4 linked regions of the Sus scrofa genome follow. The protein of the gene in region 1 interacts with the protein of each later gene in a pairwise test. Links are inferred from orthologs where the notes say so. Each region holds a gene or a part of one and is shown in the gene's direction. Other genes may lie near its edges.

Region 1 (4,211 bases):
CGCTCAGATTTGCACGTGTCTCTCTAGGGAAGGACTTGAAGGTTCACACAGGGAACCACACAGCCAGTTTACAAAAGGGAGGAGGTGTTGTTGGGGAAGAAGAAAATGTCCTGTCCACCATCAGCCATCTGTCCACTGCCCCTCCCACCTGCCAGCCCCCACCCCCACTTCAGCTGTGCAGTAGAATGGGGGGGGGGTGGATGAAGGAAGCTCTAGCACGCCTAACATTCGCCTCCAGGAAACGAGAAACGTTTCTGGGGGTGGCGGGGTGGGAGGGGAGGTGGAGGGGGAGTTCATCGTACTTCACTGTGGTCTCGCCCTTTGAGGCCCAGGTCGGTGTACACAGGCTCCTGGGTCCTAGGGAGCCGGCAGATGGCCTGCAGCGCACGGCCCGGCCCCCACGCTGGCCACGTCGGCTAGCGTCATCTCTCTCCCCCGCCTCCTACCCCTCAAAATCCGGCAGCAGAGTTGCTCCGGATCCCGCAGGGCTCCCAGAACAGAGCTGAGTGGGGAGGAGAAAGGGGCGGAGAGCGAGGAGAGAGGGAGGGCGAAGAGCCGGGCCACCCCCGGCCTTTTCCGGCAAGCTTAGCTCCCAAGGTTCACCCGTTCCCGAGCATCGAATTACAGCAGCTCCCCGTTGCCACGCTAACAGCTCGTGGGGGTGGGGGAGGAACGGGGGCTTCAAGACCCTACAGGGAGAGGGAAGTTTCCTTTCTTGCGCTTGTCCCCTCCACGCCCACTCGGGTTCCCCCAGCCAGCCCTCTGCGCACTTCCCTCTCCTTCCGGAGACCTGGTGGTGGCCCAGCCTCGTCCCCCGCCACCGTTCTCGGCTCTCCTCACTGCCCCCAAGGCATCACAGAAGGGACGGCAGTGAAAGCGCCCGGGGAGCGACCCTTCCAGTTCCTCGCGTTCCGGGCTCAGCCAGTGTGCAAGTGGCGGCCCAGCGAGCTCCCTCCCACTGACTCCCGACCCAAGAGAGCGCGGAGCCCTCTTGGCGTCTCACCTCTTGCCAGTTCCTCTTTCTGTGCACGGTGGGGAGGGGGGCGGTGACCGAGGATGGCTCTCAGCCCCCACCTCCCGGAGGGGGGCGATCGGAGTCGGCCACTCGCAGAAGGCAGCCCCTGCTCCCCTTCGCCCCAACGCTGGGAATCTGCCCCTGCAGCCGCCGCAGCTGCTGCTGCCGCCCGGGCTGCCTGGGGGGGCGACTGCGCGTCACCTAGACTGAGGAGCGCCGGGGATTTAAATGCCACTGAAAGGGTGATCCATCACCGCAGGAGCCAGCAAACTTTCGCAGGAGGCTCCGCCATTGGCTGAGAGAGTCACGTGCCCCTCCCCTAGCGCCCTCCGCCCTCCCGCCCCCCCTCTTGCGCACTGTACATTCATATCATTTTTCTTCTCCGGCCCCATGGAGGAAGTGAGAAAGTTGGCACGGTCACTCAGGGCTTCGCAGGACCCGGTCACTCAGTGACAGATGGACAATGCAAGAATGAGCTCCTTCCTGGAATACCCCATCCTCAGCGGTGGCGACTCGGGGACCTGCTCAGCGCGAGCCTACCCCTCCGACCATGGAATTACAACTTTCCAGTCGTGCGCGGTCAGTGCCAATAGCTGTGGCGGCGACGACCGCTTCCTAGTGGGCAGGGGGGTGCAGATCAGCCCGCCCCACCACCACCACCACCACCACCACCATCACCACCCCCAGCCGGCCACCTACCAGACTCCTGGGAACCTGGGGGTGTCCTACTCCCACTCGAGTTGTGGTCCAAGCTACGGCGCGCAGAACTTTGGCGCGCCTTACAGCTCCTACGCGTTAAATCAGGAAGCAGAAGTAAGTGGTGGGTACCCCACGTGCGCTCCCGCTGTTTACTCTGGAAATCTCTCATCTCCCATGGTCCAGCATCACCACCACCACCAGGGTTATGCCGGGGGCGCGGTGGGCTCGCCTCAATATATTCACCACTCATATGGACAAGAGCATCAGAGCCTGGCCCTGGCCACGTATAATAACTCCTTGTCCCCTCTCCACGCCAGCCACCAAGAAGCCTGCCGCTCCCCTGCATCAGAGACGTCTTCTCCAGCGCAGACATTTGACTGGATGAAAGTCAAAAGGAACCCTCCCAAAACAGGTCAGTCTTGCCCTTCCATGAATGATCCTTGATTATTCAGGAAGGAGCCGGTATGCTTAGTTTCCAAGGAAAATTAATCAAGGTTTTGTTTTGTTTTTTTCTTTAAAATTCTTGCTTCCCACCGGTGTTGTAGGGTGTTGGGAGGCTGCCCAGGTGTGGTTGGCACAAAGGAACATCTGGGATTGTTGTGTTTCCAAGGGGGCTGAGTTTTAGAGGTTTTGGAAGTAGGACGTGGGAAAGTGGGTAGGTGTGTATGTGTGTGTTAATATCTCCAGGCTCCATTAATCACTGGTCTGACCATGCTAATGGGTGACTTCAGATGAACGCTTTACACCTCATCACTCACCCTCCCAAGCCCGGCTTGTGTTGAGAAATTCTTGATTCCCCCTTTGCCTGAATCTTGCTCTGAAGCCTACAGGGACTCTCATATCGAATATAAATTTTTTCCCCTTTTTTCCCCATCGCTTCCCCTTGCCCTCAGGGAAAGTTGGCGAGTACGGCTACGTGGGTCAGCCCAACGCGGTGCGGACCAACTTCACCACCAAGCAGCTCACGGAGCTGGAGAAGGAGTTTCACTTCAATAAGTACCTGACGCGGGCCCGCAGGGTGGAGATCGCCGCGTCCTTGCAGCTCAATGAGACCCAGGTGAAGATCTGGTTCCAGAACCGCCGAATGAAGCAGAAGAAACGAGAGAAGGAGGGCCTCTTGCCCATCTCTCCAGCCACCCCACCGGGCAGTGAGGAGAAGGCCGAGGAATCCTCCGAGAAGTCCAGCTCCTCGCCCTGCGTTCCTTCCCCGGGGTCTGCTACCTCAGACACTCTACCTACCTCCCACTGAGGCCGCCCCAGCCCCAGACTCGACTCTTCCGGCTGGGACTTCTTTCCCAAAGCACATTCTTAGCTTATCTTCCTGTCCATTTACAATCTCTCTCTTCCTCTCTGATCCTATCTGGGGAACTCCTGGCCAGGATACTGTGTTTCCAGTGAATTCTGGATTAGAGACTGGTGTGGGGGCAGGGGAGTGCTAGCTCCGCAATGCAAATTGAGTGCCAACATCAATTTTCTCAAGGCCCCTAACGCCCCTAGTTTTAGGAGATTTCTTTGACAGACCCTACAGTTCCTTTCAGATGCCCTTTGGAAAATAGTCTCCTTTGCCAGCAGAAACATGTCAGAGGGAGGCCTCTCATCTTATATCTAACCGTGTATTTACAGTTCTCCCCTACTCTGCCCTTAAAGTAGGATAGAGAGAGAAGAGAGTCCAGGAGCTCATGAGGAAGAGATGCACTATGAGCGTGTTTACACAATTAATTCACCCCTTAATTTAACTCAGTTTCATGTGTGTGAGTCTGCTGGTTGTAAATACTTTGTCCTGAAAGATTTATCTTTATACAGATTTTCTAGAAATGTTTAGATTAAGGGATGAAAATAGGGTGGGCAAACTCTCTAAGCTGGTACAACTTTGTATGTGATTATAGGTTAAAGACTAAAAGCTCCCAGTAAAATCAATCAGAGGCCTCAGAGGGTCGCCTCCGTTTGTTCTTTCAGCAAGTTAAGAAAGCCTGCAGCATAAAGGGTCAGAAACCTGGCTCCCTGGGCTGAGTCTCTCCCCATCCCCACGCCTTTCTCCTTTCTCTGGCCACACTCTTTCAAATTTGCGCTGGAGTATTCAGGACCCAAACGTATTATTTCACACCAGCTTCTTCCCTCCACAGTTATTGTAGCTGGATATGATGTATTTTTAGCTCAGTTGTTAATGTGATGGATGGCACAATGAATGTATATTTTGTGTGATTCGTGAATAGTCTTTTGCATGTCGCACAATGTCTTGATGTTCCCGAAGTACCACACTGAGTTTTATCAGTTATCCTTTGTGATAGTTCCCATTTCCTGTACAATCATGAACAGCTCCGAGATCCCAGAAGGATGTGATCCAGAGCAGAGTTTACGGGTCTTAAGATGTCTGTAATAAATATATTCAAGTTTCAGATATGCTTAAGCATCTCTGTGTCTGGCTTGGCTACAATTTGTTGGTCCCTACAAAGTTGGCTCCTTTCCTGTGGGGAAGGGGAGAAGGGTGTTGTGTATT
Region 2 (4,205 bases), on another chromosome or scaffold:
CAACAGTTAAAACACGGAACACTTCAGGACTTTGCATGTCATCCTTGCTCCGGGGCCACACTGATCTTCTTTATATCATTCCAATTTGAGTATATGTGCTCTGGAAGCGAGCACCGTTCCTGTTCTTTATAACAAGAGAATCTGGCCATTAGAGCTCTTTGGCGTCCAGCTCCATGGGGGCTGAGAACCATCTGAGAACCATGGTTTCCGAGAACCGTCCCTGTTTCTGCCCTGGTTGTAGGGCTCTCACTTTTCAGGGCTGTGTCCTGCTCCACGCTGACTGGCCAGTGTTCTCACCCTGCTGCTGGTGAGGCTGGGCCCTTCCCAGTTGGAAGCTCTTATGAACTGTGCTGCAGTGAACCCTCTGCTGCATGCCCTTCTGTCTCTGGAGCACAGACACGTGTATGCCTTTCTGCTGGGTGTAAACTGGGGTAAGACTGCTGGGTCAGGCGACATCTACACTTGGCTAATGTCATGTGGGTCTCATTCCATGGCTCCTCATCTTCCCCTGCCCACATTTTGTTTTTGTTATTCTTTTAAACAGTCTACAGACTAAATCGTCCTCAGTAACCATTGACTGGTGGCAGTCATGAATCGCTACACAAAGAGGTGGCTCTTGCAGGTCCAGCTCCAAGGCTGTTTCCTCGTCAGCCAAAGGAATCGCTTTTCCCTCGAGCTTGGGAGTTGGGGGTTCATCACACTCACCGGTGTTGGGATGTTGGTTGATGGCGTCTGTCTGCGGCAGGACTAACTGGGGGTCCCCTGAGGGCAGGGCCGGTACGCAGCCCAGGACACACCGGGGGCAGCCACCGACTCGCAGAACCCTGGGAGCCGGCGCGCAGGGAGATCGAGAGCGGGAAACGAGCAGGCAGTGCGTTCGGGGTGGGGGTGGGGGTTCTTTGGGGACCGGAGCCTCCCCTTACTCCCCCCCCCAAAAAACGCTCTTCCTACCCACGGGCCCCCCGCCGCCCCGGGCCCCCTCCCCCGCCCTGCCCGCAGAGTTGGGCGGAGCTAACCTTTGCTACCCAGCCCGCCCACGGGGGGGGGGAGGGGATCGAGTTTCACCCGAGCCCTGGGCGGGGGATGAGGGGGGTTGAGGGGGGATGAGGGGGGATGAGGGGGGATGAGGGGGGTGGGGGTGCTACGCTCCGAAAGCGCCCCCCTTCGCCACTCCCCACAGGGAGCAGTTCGAGGGTCCCTGCTCTCTCCCCGGCCCTGGGCCCGCGCGCTGCTGGGGCGGGGCGGGGGGACGCCAGGAGGGAGGGGGCCCCGAGGTCCCGGGCGGGGAGCGGTCGAGGGGGAGGGGGAGCGGGCGCCCCCTGGCCCCGCCTCCGCCGCGCCCTCCTCCGGGGCGGGATAATTGAACCGCGCGGCCGGGGCCCTGCGTTGGCTGCGGAGGCTCGGCCGGAGCTCGGAGCCCGCGCTGCCCGCCCGCCGCCCCCGCGCCTTTGTCCGCTCCGCCGCCCGCCGCCCCATGGAGCGCGCCGCCCCGTCGCGCCGGGTCCCGCTGCCGCTGCTGCTGCTTGGCGGCCTCTCGCTGCTGGCGGCCCCAGGTAGGGGCGCTGGGGGAGGGGGGCGTCGGGAGGGAAGCGGGGGGAGGCGCCCCGAGTCGACGGCTGCGGCTCGAGGGTCTCTCCCACCCCCGGACCGCCCGGCCCCGCGTCCCGTGGGAGTTTTGGAGCTGCGGGCGCCCCCTCGGCGGCCCGGGGGCGGGGGGATGTTGGAGTTGCGCCTCGCCGGGCCCAGGCGACGTTCCCCCCTCGACGCGTCTCCTGGCTTCCATCCTGATCGCCTCACTGACTTGGGGACGTGTTTTAAAGACGGAGCCCTCCAAACACATCCTTCTGCCCACCCGCCCACTGGGGCCAAGGCGGGCGGGGGGCGAGGAAGCGCTGCCTGGTGGCTGCCAAGCACCCTGGTGCCCCGTTCCTTGCACCTGGAGTGCCCTGGCACACACTTGTTCCCCACCCTGCTGGGGGCTCCATACCCAGCTTGCTAATGAGAAAACCGGGGCGGCGGCGGGGGGCGGGGGACGGGGAACAAGAGACAAAACCAGTCATGGACGGAGTAGGGGCTGGACGTGAACTCAGAAAGGAGGGGAGGAGCCTGGAAGTGTTCAGGGTGATGATGGCTGCCAGGGGGGAGACCCCCGCCTACCCTTTTGGGGCACAGGGGGCCCCAAAACAGAGGTTCTGCCAGGATCCATGCTCAGCTGTGGCTGGGAACAGGCCACTTCCAAACCCACCCACCTGGTGACAGTGGGTTGCCAGGGCATCTCCACTAGCGGACCCAGGCCCAGAGCCCCCAGCCTGGAGACCGACGGCGCTGGGCTCACAAGCACCCGCCCATCCTTCTTTCTTCCTTAATCCTCCAGGCCGAGCTCCTGGAGCTCCTGGACCGCAAGGCCCTGCAGATCACAGCCATGACCTCTGACTTTTCTGCGACCCTTGGCTCAACAGTCGTTAGCCAGGCCAGCCTTTCTGGGGCCAGGCCCAGATAAGAGCCCCGAACATCACCCTCGGAATTCCAGATTCTTTATCTCTGGCTTAGTTGAGTTTCTTTTCAACTCTCAGGTGACCTCCCTCCTCCTCTGTCAAAGGTCACTTGTCCCAGGTAATGCTCGCCAGGGATTCAGGGTTCCCCGCCAGGGATTCAGGTTCCCTGAGAGCCAGGGATTCAGGGCTCCCTGAGAGGCAGGCGGGGGCAGGGAGAGCTCTGCAGAGGTTTCTTGGCTCCCCTGCTCCCTGCAGCCAACCCTCACTGAGCTCTGGCTGTTCTAGGCATCGATGCCATCCTGGGCAGGTCCTAGGGGACATCTCGTGGGGGCTGGGGAGGGGGGGGTCGGGCAGGCTGCTCTTCTTGGCCGCAAGAACCATCCCTGGCCCTGGGGCTTATAGGAGGTTTCTTGGAGAAAGTGGTGTTTGAGCAGGAGCTGGTCAGGCAGGCGGGGAAGGAAGCAAATTCAGGTGACCGCCGGCTGCAGTGAAAGTCTAGAGGGGCTTCAGACTGGGGGTCACGCAAACCCCTATTGGAAACGGGAGGGCCCCCAAACTCCCTGTAATTTACACACAAGGGAACCGCGGCCCAGAGAGAAGACATAGTGGAACTTTCCCGAGCCCAGGTCCCCAGATCCTCCATGGCTGTTCTTTTCTGCCCACTGTGGGATAAGAGTGGCCTGCAGCCTGGCCGTGTGCAGCTTCGAAGGAGACTCGCTTGGCTGGAGTGGCTCCCCGGCCTGCCTGATGGTTTTGCAACCAGCTTCTTCAAAGGGAAGGGCCTAACCTGAAGTGTGTGAAAGAAACTTCTTAATTGCACACCGATGAGACCCCATGTGGCCCTTTGGGGGCTGGGGGAGGTCCCTCTTCTGAATTTCAATAAGTTTAGTGTGGTTTGGGGTGAGGGAGTCAGAAGTCTGCCTGCTTCCGTCCTGTGCCTGCGAGCTCAGAGCTGCAAGGTGCCCTGAAGCCTGCTAAGGTCCAGGGTGACACTGTCCCCACCCTCTGTCCCAGAGCCCTGGGGTCCGAGAGGAAACATGCAGTTTAAAAGTGATCTTGGAAAAGGCCTTGACGGCGAGCCTGTGAGCTGATCTGCTCAACTCGTTTGGTGACCCGGCCACAGACACAGAAGGGCCCTGGACTTTGGTGCCGAGGGACAGAGGTGGAACCACGGGTCTGTCTGTCCTGCCTCCGTCCGTCCATCCTGCTGGGCTTTCCTGAGCGCCGGGCTGGGAGGGGGAAAGACGGGTTGTGTTTTTCCTCCAAGACTTTCTTGGCCTGTGGCTCCAGCCGGGCAGCCTTTCCGACTGATTACAGAGAGGAGAACAAAGGGGCGAGGACTTGGCTTGAAACACGCGGCTGCGCCCCTGCGGCTCCTGGAAGTTTCCCAGTCGGGGGGCGACGGGGCGGATGGGCTGAGGTGGGGGTAGGGGGTGGCTGGAGCGCCCTGGCCTCTCCTGTGGGGCCACCACTCCTGGTCACACACCCCCTCCTGGCACTGCCTGAGGCCACCCCAACTCAGGCCACATTTGCTGCCCTGATGATGTGTGTGTTTTGGGGGGGAGCGTGGTTCCCTCACCTTGGGGACCCAGCAGGCTGCCAGGGCCGTTGGTGGGATGGCTAAGAACCTTGTCATCCCAGGGGTGGTCTGGCGGGTTTCTCATCTGTAAAGTGGAGGTCACAGGGGACCCTGGGGACTGAGGGAGGGAC
Region 3 (4,008 bases), on another chromosome or scaffold:
CACAAGCTGCCTTCGATTTCCTTCGTGCTGGAGAGGGATGACATAGAGGGAATTTGTTTCTTTGTGGAGCCTAGAGTTACAAGCCTGTATAATTTTTTTCTGAAAAGTGTCTTTCCAACCAACACAGCTACCCACAAAGGAGCTGGACATAGTTATCTCAGAGGCAGAAGCAAAGTTCACGTACAGGAGAGACATTTTTTTTTTTTTCTTCTCTAACCATTAAGCAGTGTCACCTTTGGAGCAAACTGCTCTCCTCTTGAGAGATGACATGTCACAGTCATCATTTTTGGAAAGCAGGTGCCAGGTGGAAGAGAGATTCGATTTGCGATTTGCGGGAGTGTCAGCTAAGCCAGTACCCTCCCCACTCCTTCCTTCTTTCACTGAGGTTTTGACAGTGGCTGAGCTGAACCTGCCTTGTAAACTCCCACAGGCTCTTTATTCTGACGTGTGCTCTTTCGCAGGAGGCATGCTACCATAGGTGTTTCAAGGTTTTTCTCTACCAGGAAGAAAGTTTTTATTCTCCTCAAGCTCTTATATTTTCATTTCACGATGTTTTACTTGTATGTCCACCAAACCTGCAGAATTGGGGGTTTAAGAACCAGCAGAACTTAGACTGGTTAGAGTCAAAAGAATTTTGCCTTGTGGCCAATAGCATCCCCCATCCTAACATGAAGACTTTTATATTTTCTGTTCTCGACCCCCTTCTCCCTTCTATGTTTCTCCTCTTCTCTCTCTCTTCCCCTCCCCTCGCACAACACTTTCAAAGAGTGCCCTAAACGGTGACAAACTTGCACGTGCTTCCTTTATGACTAACCACTGGGCCTCTGGCCAACCCCCTACAGATGGTCCCAAACATCAGACACCCCGTTAGGAGAGCCCCACGTTTGCAAGCCGGCTTGGAACGGCCAGGGCAGAGAAGCGTGGTGGGGAGTGGCGGTGTCTTAGTCCTCTGGGAAGGCGGTGCAGCTTCCAGGAGGAAACGGGCGTTTCCTTCCCACGCGCTAGCCGAGCCCTGGGTCCTGGCCTCGGGCCTCCACCCAGCCCCTCCCGGCGCTCTGGGAAAAGCCAGTCGCCACACACAGGCACACGCAGGCCCCGGGGCCGCGCCCTAAGGAGAGCGGCACCCAAGGCCAATTGCCATGGCAACCCCGGGTTCGTTCCATTCCCACCCCGCCGATCCCCCCCGCCTCCTGCCTGAGCTGCAGCCAACCGGCTTGTGCGCGTCCCAGGAGCGCGCTATAAAACCTGCGCGGTGGCGCTGGGGAGAGCCGAGCCCGACCTGGAGCGGGACGAGCAGAGCCAATCTCAGACCTGGAAAGTCTTGTGAAAGCGGCAGGACAAAGCCTGAACATGCAGAGAGCGCAGAGCCTGCGCCTCGGTCTGCCCAAGCGGTGCCTCTGCCTGGCTTTCCTGCTCCTCCATCTCCTGGGACAGGTGAGTGGCGCACCCGTAAGGTGTCTTTCTGGGCGGCCCCCGCTCAGTCCCCAGGCGGCTCTGCCTTTGGTCCCCAGGTGGCTCTGCGAGGTTTCTCCTTCTGGTCTCGCCTACCTCCAGGTCGCTGCGACTCAGCGCTGCCCTCCCTCGTGTCCGGCCCCCTGCCCCAAGAAGCCGCCGACCTGCGCCCCCGGGGTGAGAGCGGTCCTGGACGACTGCTCCTGCTGCCTGGTGTGCGCCCGCCAGCGCGGTGAGAGCTGCTCGGTGATGCTGCCTTGCGAGGAGAGCCGCGGTCTCTTCTGCGACCGCCGAGCCGACCCCAGCGCCCAGACCGGCATCTGCATGGGTAACCTTGCCCGCTCCGCTGCCTGACCTCCTGTCCCTCGCCCAGCGAAGCTGCCCGCTCTTCCCTCTCCCCTTCCTCCCGCTCCCCAGCCGGTGATGCGCAAATACTAATTACGGGATGCAGTGGGTGATGTTCACGGAGCTGTGTGCGCCAGCCTTGGTCTGGGGGCGCTTGGGGTCTTTGGAGAACGCCAGAAGCTGGGAACAAAACCTGCCGGCGGAAGGGGGAAGCGTTCATTACTTGCCTCCCCAGAGAAGAATCTAGAGAGACAGGGAGCAGAGCCCAGTGAGGGACCAGTGAAGTCATTTCCTTTGGACGTTTCCAGGGGACGCTTGGGGGTGATGGAAGCATGGGCTTACTCATATGCTTACAGCCCCCCCAACGGGAGCCGGCCAGGTTTGTTTTCACACCTGTAATTGCCCCGTTTCAGCCAAGCTGTCCCTCCTCTCCTGGAACAACTGTGTAAGCCCTGCCTGGGTTGCGAGCAAAATAAAAATGCAGGCAACAAGCCCATCCAGGCTGGTGAAACTTAATCAATCGGGGATCAATTTTTCACACGGTGCACCATTTAGTTGGAGGTCATCCCTGCCTCCCTGGATAAGAGGGCTTGGAAGAACCTTTCAGTTCCTTCTCTAAATTAGTGATTTATTGTACTGGAATGCCAAGGAATCCTAACCACCTTACCAGTGTGACCAGTTAACCTGTTGGGAGCCCCCCATTTTTCTTTTTTAATTCTGAGCTTCTGGAGCAGAAGAATCTAAGGAGGTTCTTCAAAAAAAAAAAAAAAAAACTATTACTGGGAAGAGCAGCTGCGGGGCCTGGGGAGTTTCACTTCACCATTGGGCCCCTCTTTCTTCATCCATAAACTAAATGGCAGGACTGGGTGGTTTGAGCGTTTCTTTTGCCTCTGGGAGGCCTCCATGAGGACATCTCTCTTGGGGTGATGGATCAGCAACCAGATGGCCCCAACAAGGAAAAGAATGATCTGAGGTTTGGAACACGTGCTGTGGGTCGTATATAGCTTCTCCAGTGCACTGTTCTAGATTTTCTCTCTCCCTCGCTTCCCCAATATTCTAGCAATAGAAGGAGACAACTGTGTGTTTGACGGAGTCATCTACCAAAGTGGAGAGACCTTCCAGCCCAGCTGCAAATACCAGTGCGCCTGTCAAGATGGACAGGTTGGCTGTGTGCCCCGCTGTGAGGAGGACCTGCTACTGCCCCAGCCCGACTGCCCAGCTCCGAGAAAAGTCAAAGTGCCCGGGGAGTGCTGTGAAAAGTGGATCTGTGACTCAAATGAGACGGGGACCTTAGGGGACCTCCAAACCCTTCCAGGTGAGAAATTCAGAAGACCTAAAAAATGCTCACAGCACAGGAATCAAGACAGGCAGGAAGCAGGCATGCTCTTTGGGGTGTGCAGTGAGAAACTGGCTTCAGTTTCTGGCCGTTCAGTTGTTGAGTCCAGCTTGCCCACTGAGATCAAACCCACGGTGGAATCCCAGCCAAGTTATGGGAGTACACACCCAGTCTCTCCTGAAGAAGAAGGTGGTTCTTTTGAGCCACAGGACTGATTCTGTCTTATTGCATGACTACTATTTATATTTGAATCAATCCCTCTTGGTCCCTATTTTTTAATGATTTTTATTTTTTCCATTATAGTTGCTTTACAGTGTTCTGTCAATTTTCTACTGTACAGCAAAGTGACACAGTCATGTATATATATATATATATATTATATATATATAATGTACATATATTCTTTTTCTCACATTATCCTCCATCATGTTCCATCACAAATGACTAGATATAGTTCCCTGTGCTGTACAGCAGGATCTCATTGCTTATCCACTCCAAATGCAATAGTTTGCATTTATTAACCCCAGACTCCCAGTCCATCCCACTCTCTCCCCCTTGGCAACTACAAGTCTGTTCTCCAAGTCCATGAGTTTCTTTTCTGTGGAAAGGTTATTTGTGCCCAATATTAGATTCCAGATATACCACTTGATCCTTACTAACGCTGATTGCAAAGATGTGCTTTGGCAACTTCATGCAGAACATATAGTTGATTTAGCTCATATATATGTGGCAAGTGTCAATTCATTGGGCCATTTAGGCCATTTGCAAAGGGCCTGGCAATGTCTCTTTCTTTTCTGCATTTTGTACACTACCTATGCACTCTCAAGACCAGCCTCCCTAAAGAATGCCGCTCATCCCTGGACAGGTGTCAGAGA
Region 4 (4,078 bases), on another chromosome or scaffold:
CAAACTACACGACAGCTTAAGGCAATGCCAGATCCTCAACCCGCTGAGCCAGGCCAGGGATTGAACCCGTGTCCTCATGGATAATAGTCAGGTTTGTTCAACCACTGAGCTAGGATGGGAACTCCTCCTTCCTCTTTTCTTGACTAACTGTGCTCATTTTCTTGAACCATTACCAGTAGGAGGTTTTTGTTGTTTCCCCCTGTCCTAATTGCCCCACTTTGTACTTTCTCAGCTACTGCAATCTGCAATGACCCATCTAAACTGGTGGGAAGTGAACACTACATTTGGTGAACATTATGGCCAGCACTGAGTCAGGTATGACCACCCTTACTAGCTCTCACAGTGTATGCTCCTTATCCTGAACGCTCTCAGGAGCCACTCCTGCCCCTGATCTATTTGTATGCCTGGGCGGCTTATTGATTATGAAGCCAAGTACCCAGCGTGACCCTTACTTAGGCCTTTGTTGGTGGCCTAGACCAATAAGCAGAATCCATTAAACTCTTCCTCTGCTTCCCTTTTTCCTTTCGTTTCCTGGGAGGAGCTTAAGGAAGGGAAAGGTAGGCCCTAAGGTCTTAGGGGATAAGAGGTTATGGTTGATGAAGAAGCTTGGGCAGGAAAATGCATCTTCTAATCCAGAATCCAGAGACATTATCAATTTTGTTTCATGGCATGACTTCGATGAGCTTTCTTGTAAGGAAAAACAAAACAAAACATTAGCATCACTGGCATCACATATTGGACAATTTTTAAGGTGGTGATGGGACAAGGTGTTTGAATTTGGACAGTTTTGAAAAATCTTGTATTATAGTGGACAAAAATATTTGCAGTCTGTGTGTTGGGTTCCTCAAATTGGAAAAGTAAAGACTCTGGTACTCATCACAGACTAAAAAATACTGACGAAAAGTGAGATTTGATTTTTAGATAAACTGGCAACCGCATGCACAATAAATTCTCTATTCCGGCCAGGGTTTTTATTCTTAGTTGTTCTGGTTAGAGAGTACTTTAGGGAACTAAGGGCCCCTCTGGACACTCAGCTCTCTTTCTGAGTCACGGTCAATGGCACCAGCCCTTAGGCACAGTCCTCTAGCCGGTCGGCGACCCCTCTTCTGGAGGGCGGGGCCGCGTCGGGGGGCGGGGGGAGCGCGAGCCCAAGACACCCTCGTTGGGTGGAAGTGGGGGAAGGCGACCTTTGGGAGCGCGCGAGGCCTCACGTGCGCGCTCCCGCGCCGCCTGCCTGCGCGCTCGCGCGCCCACGCGTCCGCCCGCCCGCCCGCACTCCCGGGAAGTCTCGCGATGTCGTAGCCGGGTGCTCCCGCTGCGGGTGGCTCTGGCTGTTGCTGTGGTTGCCTGAGTTGCTGCTGCGGCGGCGGCGGCGGCGGCGGCGGCGGCGGCGGCGGTACTGGTGGAGGTGTCGGCCCTTGGGCGGATGTTGACATTGTGTTGTTGTTGTTGCTGACGGTAATGGCGGCGGCGGCGGCGACGGCCGGGACCCCATCTCCTCTGTAGCCGAAGCCAAGACAATCCAGAGCGAACTCCGCGGCCTCGGAGCCCGCGGCAGCGACTCCGCTCAGCCTCGGCTGCCTCGCCAGCCCGTATCCCGGCCGCAGCCCCTGGAGTCAGGCCCCTTCGGGCGGGGGGCCGCGGAGGCTCAGGATGGCGGATTTCGACGAGATCTACGAGGAGGAAGAAGACGAGGAGCGGGCCCTGGAGGAGCAGCTGCTCAAGTACTCGCCGGACCCGGTGGTGGTCCGCGGCTCCGGTCACGTCACCGTGTAAGGCCCGGAGGAGGGCGAGGGCGAGGGCGGGAGGTGCAGGGCTGGGGCGGCCCCCGTGCTCCGTGGGGGCTCTTTCTCCCTGGGGTCTGTCTGGTGTCGGAGGCCTGCGGGAGGAGTAGGCGAGCAGGAAGTGAGAACTTGCTTTATTTTCATTTGTTGCGGTCTCCAGAGTGGAGCCAGACACTGCCCTGCCTCCCCCCGCTGCCTTCTTAGCAGGCCCTACGGGCCTGGGCGCTGTGTCGGATCCCAGGAGGGAAGGTTATTCCTTAGGGTCTGCCCTTCCGGCCACCCTTTCGGCCTCGGGGTGGAAATCCACGTATTTCTGAGGCGCCTCCCCCTTGTTTTCTCATCCTGTTACCCTGTGGCTCTCTGTCTCCTCGTCTGTGCGGTTGAGCATAGTGACATATGGCTCAGAGGCCGGATCTGGGCCAGGTGAGACCCGAGTGACAGTGTGGGTCATGAGTAGTTCGTTGTCCCTATGTTTGTATTTCACACACACCCACAGGTCTTCCCAGTCTCTTGCAGAGTCAGTTTCTGCGGATCGAATGCAAGTTCCTGTAATTGTATATGATAAAAAAATGTATAGATGAGCATATATTTTTAAGATGCAGAATGATTAGGTTTACAGATAATTTTTTAAAAAACTACGTGATGGGCACACAATGCCCAGTGAGGGTTTCTGTTATCTAAGTCCTTCTTTTGGGCAAGAGCTCCTGGGTGGCTTCTTCTTTTGATAAGGGTTCCCGTAAAGTCCCATTGGCAACCTATAAAAGGCTGATATTGTTCAAACAATAAGGAAGGAGAGCTTTCTGAAAGGTCATGACTAATAAAGGAATGTGAAGACTTGAACCAAATAATGAGCTGTCCGGAAGCAGGAAGTTTTGTAATGTTTCTCTGAGAAGTCCAGAGTTTTGTACAACTTGAAGTATTTATACTTTTTCATTTTAGGTCTCTTGTTCAAATCCTAGATCAAACTTCACACTTGTCAGATATCTCCACACTCCACCTTTTTAGTAAAACTAAAGGGCCAGCACGTCTAAGACTGCCTGGAACACTTTTCATTATATTTTTGGTTTAGGGTGAGTGGGGTGTGCAGTGAATAACTTTTGGTGAAACAGTAAGACTTCTCATTGAAGACTGTCAGCAAAATCCTGGCATTTCTCAATACATGATGTGACCAACCATGCTGTTGTTTGGGTGTGCTTATGTAATGCTTTGATTTCTTTAGCACCTGTTAGTTTATATTCAGATGACTTAACAGGGTAAAAACACTGCACAATCACTGTCACAGAGCCATGAAAGGACAATGGAATTTATGGCCACAATAACTGTTACTTAGTTTTTTAACTGTCATCAGCAGCCACATTAAGAAATAGAACCACATATTTGGATATTAAATCTTTCTTTAACAGATATCATAGCCCACCATTTAATTTTTATTTTTTTAGGACCTTTTTACATTGTTTTAAACCTAAGGAGTTGTAGGGGTGCTTAAAGAAGGGCTTTTCAAATTTTATCATATGTGCCCACTCCTCCTCTTACATTCCTCATGTCAAAGAAGAACCAGAAAAATTTTATTTAAAAAGGTGCAGCTATAGATATAATGTTTCCGCTGTTGAAGGAAAAAAGCTAAGTACTTGTTGGGCATAATGGAAAATATAATAGGTGAGGTGCTCAGAACCAATGGATGATTTGATTTTGGTTGGCTGCTGAGAGGGGTTAACAGAGTGGGAGAGAATAATAACCACTAATTAAGTGGTTTTCAATCTCATTTGTCCATTAGAATCACCTGGGGAGATTTAAACACACACCCTTCCTTTGCCACGGGTCAGGCTGCTTGAAAGCCAAGTATCTGAGCGAAAGTTCCAGGCTTGGTTCGTTTTTTTAAAAAGTTCCACAGGTGATTCAAATATGTATCCAGGATTGAAACCCACTATTCCAGAGCATAAGAGGAACTATATGCCAACGCTGAACGGTATGCCTTTCTACGTGGGGACTTAATGTTTCTATGAGCTCCCTCCTCAACTTCTCTTTCTTTCCTGTTACCTTGGCGCTAGGCTCTGGGTTCAAGATGGACCCTTTGCCACTTCTTGGGTAAATTATCTACGCCTCTTCATTTAAGATGGGGATAGTTACAGTTTCTAGCTTTTAAGATTATTAAGGATTGATGTTCCCTGGTGGCCTGGCGTTTAAGGGTTTGGTGTTGTCATTGCTGTGGCTTGGGTTCAATCTGTGAGTCCAGGAGCTTCCATATGCCTCGGGTGTGGCAAAAAAAAAAAAAAAAAAAAAAGAAAAGAAAAAAG

What was found.
Region 2: the proteins of HOXA1 (region 1) and FBLN1 interact in binary tests that used the Homo sapiens proteins (3 or more experiments, as listed by UniProt). The link is inferred for Sus scrofa from reciprocal best matches to the Homo sapiens genes HOXA1 and FBLN1.
Region 3: the proteins of HOXA1 (region 1) and NOV interact in binary tests that used the Homo sapiens proteins (3 or more experiments, as listed by UniProt). The link is inferred for Sus scrofa from reciprocal best matches to the Homo sapiens genes HOXA1 and CCN3.
Region 4: the proteins of HOXA1 (region 1) and CHIC2 interact in binary tests that used the Homo sapiens proteins (3 or more experiments, as listed by UniProt). The two-hybrid records come from large-scale screens. The link is inferred for Sus scrofa from reciprocal best matches to the Homo sapiens genes HOXA1 and CHIC2.

What each region holds. Positions count from the first base shown.
Region 1 is NC_010460.4:45,476,189-45,480,399, forward strand, and holds HOXA1 (homeobox protein Hox-A1), read left to right. Parts: upstream 1-1,372; 5' UTR 1,373-1,471; coding exon 1,472-2,126; intron 2,127-2,607; coding exon 2,608-2,963; 3' UTR 2,964-4,118; downstream 4,119-4,211. UniProt on the Homo sapiens protein: Sequence-specific transcription factor. Regulates multiple developmental processes including brainstem, inner and outer ear, abducens nerve and cardiovascular development and morphogenesis as well as cognition and behavior.
Region 2 is NC_010447.5:3,924,327-3,928,531, reverse strand, and holds the start of FBLN1 (fibulin-1), read left to right. Parts: upstream 1-1,353; 5' UTR 1,354-1,474; coding exon 1,475-1,553; intron 1,554-4,205. UniProt on the Homo sapiens protein: Incorporated into fibronectin-containing matrix fibers. May play a role in cell adhesion and migration along protein fibers within the extracellular matrix (ECM).
Region 3 is NC_010446.5:19,511,669-19,515,676, reverse strand, and holds the start of NOV (protein NOV homolog), read left to right. Parts: upstream 1-1,195; 5' UTR 1,196-1,350; coding exon 1,351-1,434; intron 1,435-1,554; coding exon 1,555-1,780; intron 1,781-2,857; coding exon 2,858-3,112; intron 3,113-4,008. UniProt on the Homo sapiens protein: Immediate-early protein playing a role in various cellular processes including proliferation, adhesion, migration, differentiation and survival. Acts by binding to integrins or membrane receptors such as NOTCH1.
Region 4 is NC_010450.4:40,843,872-40,847,949, reverse strand, and holds the start of CHIC2 (cysteine-rich hydrophobic domain-containing protein 2), read left to right. Parts: upstream 1-1,234; 5' UTR 1,235-1,653; coding exon 1,654-1,772; intron 1,773-4,078.